Linked DNA regions of Arabidopsis thaliana. The protein of the gene in region 1 interacts with the protein of each later gene in a pairwise test. Each region holds a gene or a part of one and is shown on either strand. Other genes may lie near its edges.

Region 1 (3,932 bases):
AAATATCATGTAATCAAAGGATAAATCTCAAAGAAAAAGGACCATAAAGAAAAATTAGATATCTTGTGAATCAAGAGAGACCTTTCATTAGATAAAGCTGTAAGGTTGAGCTGAGTTCTACAAAAGGTGATAGCAAACTTAATGGAATTGTGCAGTTTAAGTAAATCAGCCCACTGAAACAGCACTTAGAGAAGCAAAGAGCTTTTGCAATAAGAAATATAATATCTTGTGAATCAAGAGAGATGATTCACATTAGAGGGATGTATCACAGAGGTTATGCATATAAGAAACATTTGAGTATAAAGAAAGTACAAACCTGGTCCATCTGGTTGTTTCCATTGGCTTGTGGTAGAGCCTCTACCCTGACCCTAACGTCTATTCCTGGAATCAGAGCTCCTCCACCATCAGCCCATTCTTCTTCCATGAATGGCGCATATCTGTTCCCACTTGGTGGCCCAATGTTATTCTTGTGAAACACTCTGCACAACACATATGCATCCTGCTGCACCCAGACAAAGAAGTAAGATAAGATAGGATTCTTACAAAATGAGATAACCCCAATTCAAAAGTAACTCTTTTGGACAACATAATACCAGCAGGCTTCCGTTAGTTTCAGTTTCATATTCCACAAGGCGATACTCGTGCATGACCCAATTAGTCCGAAGGCCGTCTGGAGCACGCCCGCTGTGGAAAACAAGCGTCTTTTTCATACCGAGCAACTGAATATCCCGGCGGATTTCTCTGTCTTTTCCAGTTGCTTTCCAGTACCCTTTGTTAGTTGCTCGATTCATCCTAGCACCATTACCGTACTTCTTATCTAACGCACTGAAGAAGTACCATTCTTGGTCCCGAGTTTTCAACTTCGAAAACACTGAAACACACAACACATCACAAGGTTTTTTTTCTTTCAGATCATACTTGAGAACACTTCAGATAGCCAAACACACAAGCAACAAACTTCATTTCCTGATCCACAAGCAAACATAACTGTAGCACAAGCAAACATAACTGTAGCACAAGCAAACACGAAATTCTTAAAGCAATCTGAAGAAAATTCGACTTTCTTCAGTTAAGAAGTCAATTGGATGGAATGTCTTCACAGTGTTAAAGCCTAATTGCCTAAACTTAGCGCCAGGTACGAACAGAGAATCTTCTCTGCAACAAAAAATTTCCCAGAAAACGAATCGGAGCACGTAAAAGCTAAACTCATTTCCCAGAATTGAGCCAGAAGACGGAACAACCAATAAGCCCAGGCGACAAAAATCCCAAATCAGAAGCATCAAATTCACAGAAACCCCCAAATCATAGAGATAAGCAGAAATGAAGAAGAAGAAACCTAACGAACCTGCTAAATCCCAGGGCTCATGCTTGTAGATATCTACCTCTCCAATCGCATCGAAGCGTACAGGTTTACCCAGAACCTTCCTCTTCAAGTAATAGCTCACGAGTTCCTCATCAGTCGGATGAAATCGAAAGCCAGGAGCAAGCGAGGTAGCCGACACAGCAGTACTGGGCGCAGTCGCCGATGGCGGCGAGGACACAACAGCCAGAGATTCGCGACCCATAAAAAGAAAAAAAAAAGACCGTATTTGTTTCTAGGTTTTCTTCTCAATTTTTTCAGACAAACCAGAAATATAGTTGTCAAAATGTTTTTTTTAATATGAAACCAGACAAACCAGAAAAAGAGAAGCAGGTACCTTCAATTGCAAGAAATTTGCTTTCTTTTCGAGTTCCTAGAAGGCTAGAAAAAAAGTAATTTCGGATTGCGATTACTATTTTTCATTTTCAATTTTAATAATAATTTCTCATTTTTGAGTGTTGCAGTAATAAAACCCTAAAAAATGTTACTGCTTAGCTTTTTGTTGTCGTTCTATGCAGTAAAATAAAGGAACCACTAGTCCTAGTGTGTGGTCTGAAAAGTAAGTATCCAACGATAAATATTTTTTAAAAAGTAATATGTTAGACAGATGATGAAAAAAATAATGAAAAATTAAATATTGCTTATGTGATTAATAACTCTTTTTAAAAGGTAAAGTATTTTTTTAAAAGATTAGAGTTTATTTGTTTCCTTTAATGTTAAATGCATTGTATACATCTTTAGTATAAAAATCTTATATTGTATTTGATAAATTATTGTAGTTCAAAGATTTACAAACGCTAGGATAAATAGAAAATAATCTGGTTGGAAAATATGTAATGGTTTTGTGCTTATCAAAAGTTAAATGCTGACATGTACAGTAAAACCTCTATAAATTAATAACTTCTACAAATTAATAAATTATTAAGATTCCAAAAACTAGTATAAAAAGTGATATATATCGATAGATTAATAAGATAATAATTATTTTGAATGTTCTATGTAAATATATGGTCTCATTAATATCATAAATTAATAATTATATAAAAGTATCAACTATGTATATTTATTATATGTAAAAATATTCTTTAAAATTTATTTTTAATATTTTTTTGCTTAAATTTGTATTATTTTTGTTTGAAATTCAGTTCTAATAGTTTTACTATATCAAAAAATTTTGGTATTATTTTCTATACATGAAGTTGACCAAAAAAGAAGAATTAATGAGAATAAGATAGAAGGTGAAAGAAAATAAAAAAGGAGTGACAGATACGTTTGCTTGCAGGAGGATACTTTACCAATAAGGCAAGCTAAAGGGGAGGAGAGACTTGGTCCACACGAATCATCATCTTTCCCATTTTCTGTTACTATTTATTATTCTTCTTTTCTCTATTTATTTTCTAGTACAAGTCCTCTTCAAATTTGTAATTCGTAGTTTGGTTTTCGTTTAAACCATTTGCAATTCTCAAATATAAACATTAACTACGATTTGAACTTGAATAATTTACTTGTGGGGTTTGTATTACTGTTTAAGTCAAGGTGACAAAGACAAAAGGTTACTTTCTTCTCTCTTTTTTTCATCTTCTAGTAAAATGGAATATTTAAAACAATATTATTCGACATGTTGAATTTTGTTGCTGTCGACATTTCGATATTGAAATTCTATATAATTATGGTGTACGGGGGTGGAATTGATGAGGCGTACCAGAAAACTATATGATATTTTTGCACTATTTTCTTCTTTTTTGGTACGCTATGTCTCTTGTCTCTTATGCTTTGTATGCGTAACTAATTCGAAGGCAGAAATTAAAACGAAAAATATCCAACTCTTACTTTTACACATATTATTATGAAACTAATAAAGAAAGTAAGAGTAAAAGAAAACTCTATTTTATTTATTTATTTATATAGGTTGTCAGCTATCTGACACCACTGTCTCCAAAAAGGACAAAATGCTAAAATATCAAGACTTTTTTTTTTGGCTCAAAAAAAATATATGGTTTGTGCCTCGTGTTTAAGCAATGGGCCAAATTTCTTCTAAGTTAGAATATTAAAAGCCCATGATTTATTTGTAGCCCATTTCGGTGACGGACGGGTGTAAATCAAGCCCATGCTAATTTATTCTTCTTTTTCTTATTTTCATAAACGCAGTTTCTCGTATCGAGACTAGAACAACATGCATTCGTCTTCACGAATGAAACACTGAATCTTGAAGAGCTGAGAATAGTGTGTTATGAAATTTCAATTCCGGTAACAGGTTGCATATTTCAGGGTAAGATTTGTGATCCGTTGCAAAGTATATCCATAATAAGATATGTGACATTAATAAACAAAATATATAAAAGCATAAATTAAGGGCATAATACATTGCATTTTGATCTCTCGCTCTCGACCTGCTATTTCAATGTCAACATGAACAAGTAATCTGTTTAAATTGCAAATTTAACCAAAAAAAAGAGTTGGACCCGTCACGCTCTTTTCATGAGCTTTATTTTCTTAAAAGGTTTGAGCTTTTTTTTTTTCCAATCCAAAAAAAAAAAAACATTCTTTAACTAAAAGTATACATGAACGTGAC
Region 2 (3,932 bases), about 15 Mb from region 1:
GCAAAGAACCGTTTTCTGAGAACCAGTAACATTTTAGGCTTGAAAGTTTGGAGAGTACTTGAAGACAAGAATTAGGAACATCAACAATACCAACAATAGGCTTATTAATCGTGCAAAAGGGGAAATTAGCAGCTTATTAGCCTTTCCACTAGATCGAACATGCCCTTATACGACAATTTGAGGCCCCTTATATATTTTCATCCAAATCACAACTTAAAAGGTAAGAATTTGTTTTGTGCATTTTGCACTAATATTTTTATTAAATTCTTGACAAATGACGTTGTCATGAAAAATTACAAAATATTGAATAACACTTGAATTTAGTAGAATTAAGAAATTGAGAAACTGAATAATACTAGAATTTAAAAGAATTTATAAAATGCCTAATTGAATAACACTAGAATCAACATTCTAATAAATTCCGTCAAATTCATTGCTCCAATACCCCCCTCCCCCCCCCCCCCCCCCCAAGTAATTGAAATGGGCTTGAAACCATGGGGCCGGAAATTTTCACTTTGTATTATTTTGATGAAGCCCAATAGACTTTACGGAAAGACCTTAGGTTTCAAGTAGGTTTTTAAGTTTTATGAAACAGAGAAACATATACGTGTTCGTGAAGGAGAAGACGTGAAGGTAACTTGGACTATAAAGTGTATAGTGTTAGCGAAAAGGTGAAGCAGAATAAATAAAGTGTTATGCGTTATCAAGTCTACCTAATATAACTAGCTAGGGATTTCTACTCTTGTTTTCATAATCGATCTACGGACATTTCTCGGAACGTGGTCAAGATTCATGAGTCTTCTGTTTTTTATGTCTCTGTTCAATTTGGTTTAGAGATTAGTATGCTTATTTGTTTATTTCATATATGGTTATGAGAGGAGAGGCTAATGGCATATACTCTGATGTTTGTGATGGCTGCTAATATCGTTGAGGAGTTATTCACGTTGTTTCATGCGCAAAAATCAACAGAAAAAATTCTGATTATGAGCCAACTCTGTGAACCCTTATAGTGCGCCCAGAGGTTTGCGAGGCAAAATCCCGATGAACCAGAAGGAATTTTAGATCTCTATCAACAATAACTATGATGGAGCTCGTTTAAATTCATCACAGCGACAACATCATTAGGCTGCCCAACGTCTATGTCTCCTGGAGGTGATGGTACTTGATCTCTCAACCAATTTTCTTGAAAATATCATGCCTTGTGAGCGCTTTCATATTGCGCCTAAAATACCCAATACGCAATGAACCTACTTCCAAAGGCATAGAAAAAAAACTGATAATGATAATGAGATTTGTCACTATACTTATCCTATCCCTACATAGGAGCCGTTTGATTGTTTAGTCCATGTTTTCATTTTGTTTAGTCTAATGCTATATAACTTTTCTTTATCAGTCTATTGTTATATGACTTATATATATCTCAAGAGATAAGGCCAATAAATCTTCTTCTTAATTATATCTGAAGACTCAAAACATATTTTGAGTTTAATAAAATAAATAACGTCCAAATGCTACATACAAACGGACCAAATTCATGGAGGTATAAATTTAAATTATTTTTTGTTCCAAAGTGTATGCAGTGATTTATTGATGAATGCGATAGAGCGGCGAAAGAGAATAATCGTCACCTAGAAGACAAATTGATCGGCCGTACATATATACATAAATACAAACCTGCCACTTCACATGTCACCCACCTTTAAGCACCCCCTTCACATACATACTTTCTATAACAAAAATATCAGCTTCTAGTTCATATTTATGTTACAATAACTCGAGTGAATCATACTAAAAAAATGTAATGCTTTCTCTAAATAGGAGATAAAATGCACCCTCCGACCTAACTAAAGATTCCTTATTTTAGCTATTTAAGACATATTGCACATGTATAGAGATACATAAACACATATGCAATATGCACATCTTCTATACATTGAAAAAAGCTGATCTTGCAAATATTTGTCTTACACAACACAAGCGACCAAAGCGATGCGTTTCCCAATGATAAGGTTACGACATACTTACACGACTCTCTCTATTGTCTCGTCTCTTTCTTTCCTCATCCCTCTCCTTTGTCTCCTTTCACTCTATTTTTCACTTTTCAGAATACTTTTACGTAAAAATCATGGACATGTCATTGTCTCCACCCTACTATACTCTTTTTTTGTTCTTTTTGTTTCCTCTTGTGTCACAAAAATAACAAGATTAAACGTACATTTCTCTCTAAAACCAGACTCAAATGACCAAAACCCGGATTCTCAACCCGACCCGATTCCCTTCTCCCAAACCCTTACGTGGCTGCGGCGACGCTAACTTCATGGAACAGCTCCTCCTTCACTGCGCCACCGCCATAGACTCCAACGACGCTGCATTAACTCACCAAATCCTCTGGGTCCTCAACAACATCGCTCCACCAGACGGTGACTCCACCCAACGTCTTACATCCGCATTCCTCCGCGCGTTGCTCTCACGCGCCGTCTCCAAAACCCCTACACTATCATCCACCATTAGCTTCCTACCTCAGGCCGATGAACTCCATCGTTTCTCAGTCGTGGAGTTAGCCGCTTTCGTAGACCTCACTCCGTGGCACCGGTTCGGATTCATTGCAGCCAACGCCGCGATCTTAACCGCCGTTGAAGGTTACTCAACGGTTCACATCGTTGACTTAAGTTTGACTCATTGTATGCAAATCCCTACTCTTATAGACGCCATGGCAAGCCGACTCAACAAACCTCCTCCGCTTCTTAAACTCACCGTCGTCTCTTCCTCCGACCACTTCCCACCATTCATCAACATCTCCTACGAAGAACTCGGATCTAAACTAGTCAACTTCGCCACCACACGAAACATTACAATGGAGTTCACAATCGTACCTTCTACTTACTCCGATGGCTTCTCCTCCCTCTTACAACAGTTACGGATTTATCCTTCTTCATTCAACGAAGCTCTCGTCGTTAACTGTCACATGATGCTCCGTTACATCCCTGAAGAACCCCTAACTTCATCATCATCATCGCTCCGAACAGTTTTCTTGAAACAACTCCGATCTTTGAATCCAAGAATCGTAACCCTAATCGAAGAAGACGTAGATCTCACATCGGAGAACTTGGTTAACCGGTTAAAATCGGCGTTTAACTACTTCTGGATTCCGTTCGATACGACGGACACGTTTATGAGTGAGCAGAGACGGTGGTACGAGGCGGAGATAAGTTGGAAGATAGAAAACGTGGTGGCGAAGGAAGGTGCGGAGAGAGTGGAGAGGACGGAGACGAAGAGACGGTGGATAGAGAGAATGAGAGAGGCTGAGTTCGGTGGAGTTAGGGTTAAAGAAGATGCGGTGGCGGATGTGAAGGCGATGCTGGAGGAGCACGCTGTCGGGTGGGGAATGAAGAAGGAAGACGACGACGAGAGTCTCGTGCTGACGTGGAAAGGTCATAGTGTTGTGTTTGCTACCGTTTGGGTTCCCATTTAAATCAGGTTGATTTAATTTAATTAGCGTTTTAATTGGATACCTAATATAGTAGAATAGCATTGCTTTAATTTCTGATCTAATTACAATTTAATAATATTTTTTATTAACTTTTTTTTTTGTTCTAATCTAGTGTCAATTGTTTTGTACTAGTTCAAAACATTCTAACGTTGAAAAATAATCGTTATTATGACTAAACATATTTTACATCTTCATAAGCACTTTTAGTTTACATAGATATTTTTCCGTGAATAGGCTTAGTGATAACAGTGAAAACTTATTATAATAGGAAAAATTGAATAGTATATAGTTATTTAAATTTGTAGCGAGAATAAACATGTTGGAGATACAAAGTAGAGAGGATCAGATACAATTGCCTTCTTAAAATGAAGACATAAACAAAACAAATGAAAAACCAATAATATCTTCTCATCGTCAAAATGAACATTCAAACATTAATAAA

Evidence for each region.
Region 2: the proteins of NAC050 (region 1) and AT3G49950 interact in binary tests that used the Arabidopsis thaliana proteins (3 or more experiments, as listed by UniProt).

Annotation. Positions count from the first base shown.
Region 1 is NC_003074.8:3,262,043-3,265,974, reverse strand, and holds the start of NAC050 (NAC domain containing protein 50), read right to left. Parts: upstream 1,628-3,932; 5' UTR 1,566-1,627; coding exon 1,346-1,565; intron 1,156-1,345; coding exon 1,126-1,155; intron 1,045-1,125; coding exon 976-1,044; intron 872-975; coding exon 594-871; intron 503-593; coding exon 317-502; intron 174-316; coding exon 82-173; intron 1-81. UniProt on the Arabidopsis thaliana protein: Transcriptional repressor that binds to the motif 5'-(C/T)A(C/A)G-3' in the promoter of target genes. Also binds to the 5'-CTTGNNNNNCAAG-3' consensus sequence in chromatin.
Region 2 is NC_003074.8:18,520,331-18,524,262, forward strand, and holds AT3G49950 (GRAS family transcription factor), read left to right. Parts: upstream 1-2,135; 5' UTR 2,136-2,239; coding exon 2,240-3,472; 3' UTR 3,473-3,604; downstream 3,605-3,932. UniProt on the Arabidopsis thaliana protein: Probable transcription factor involved in plant development.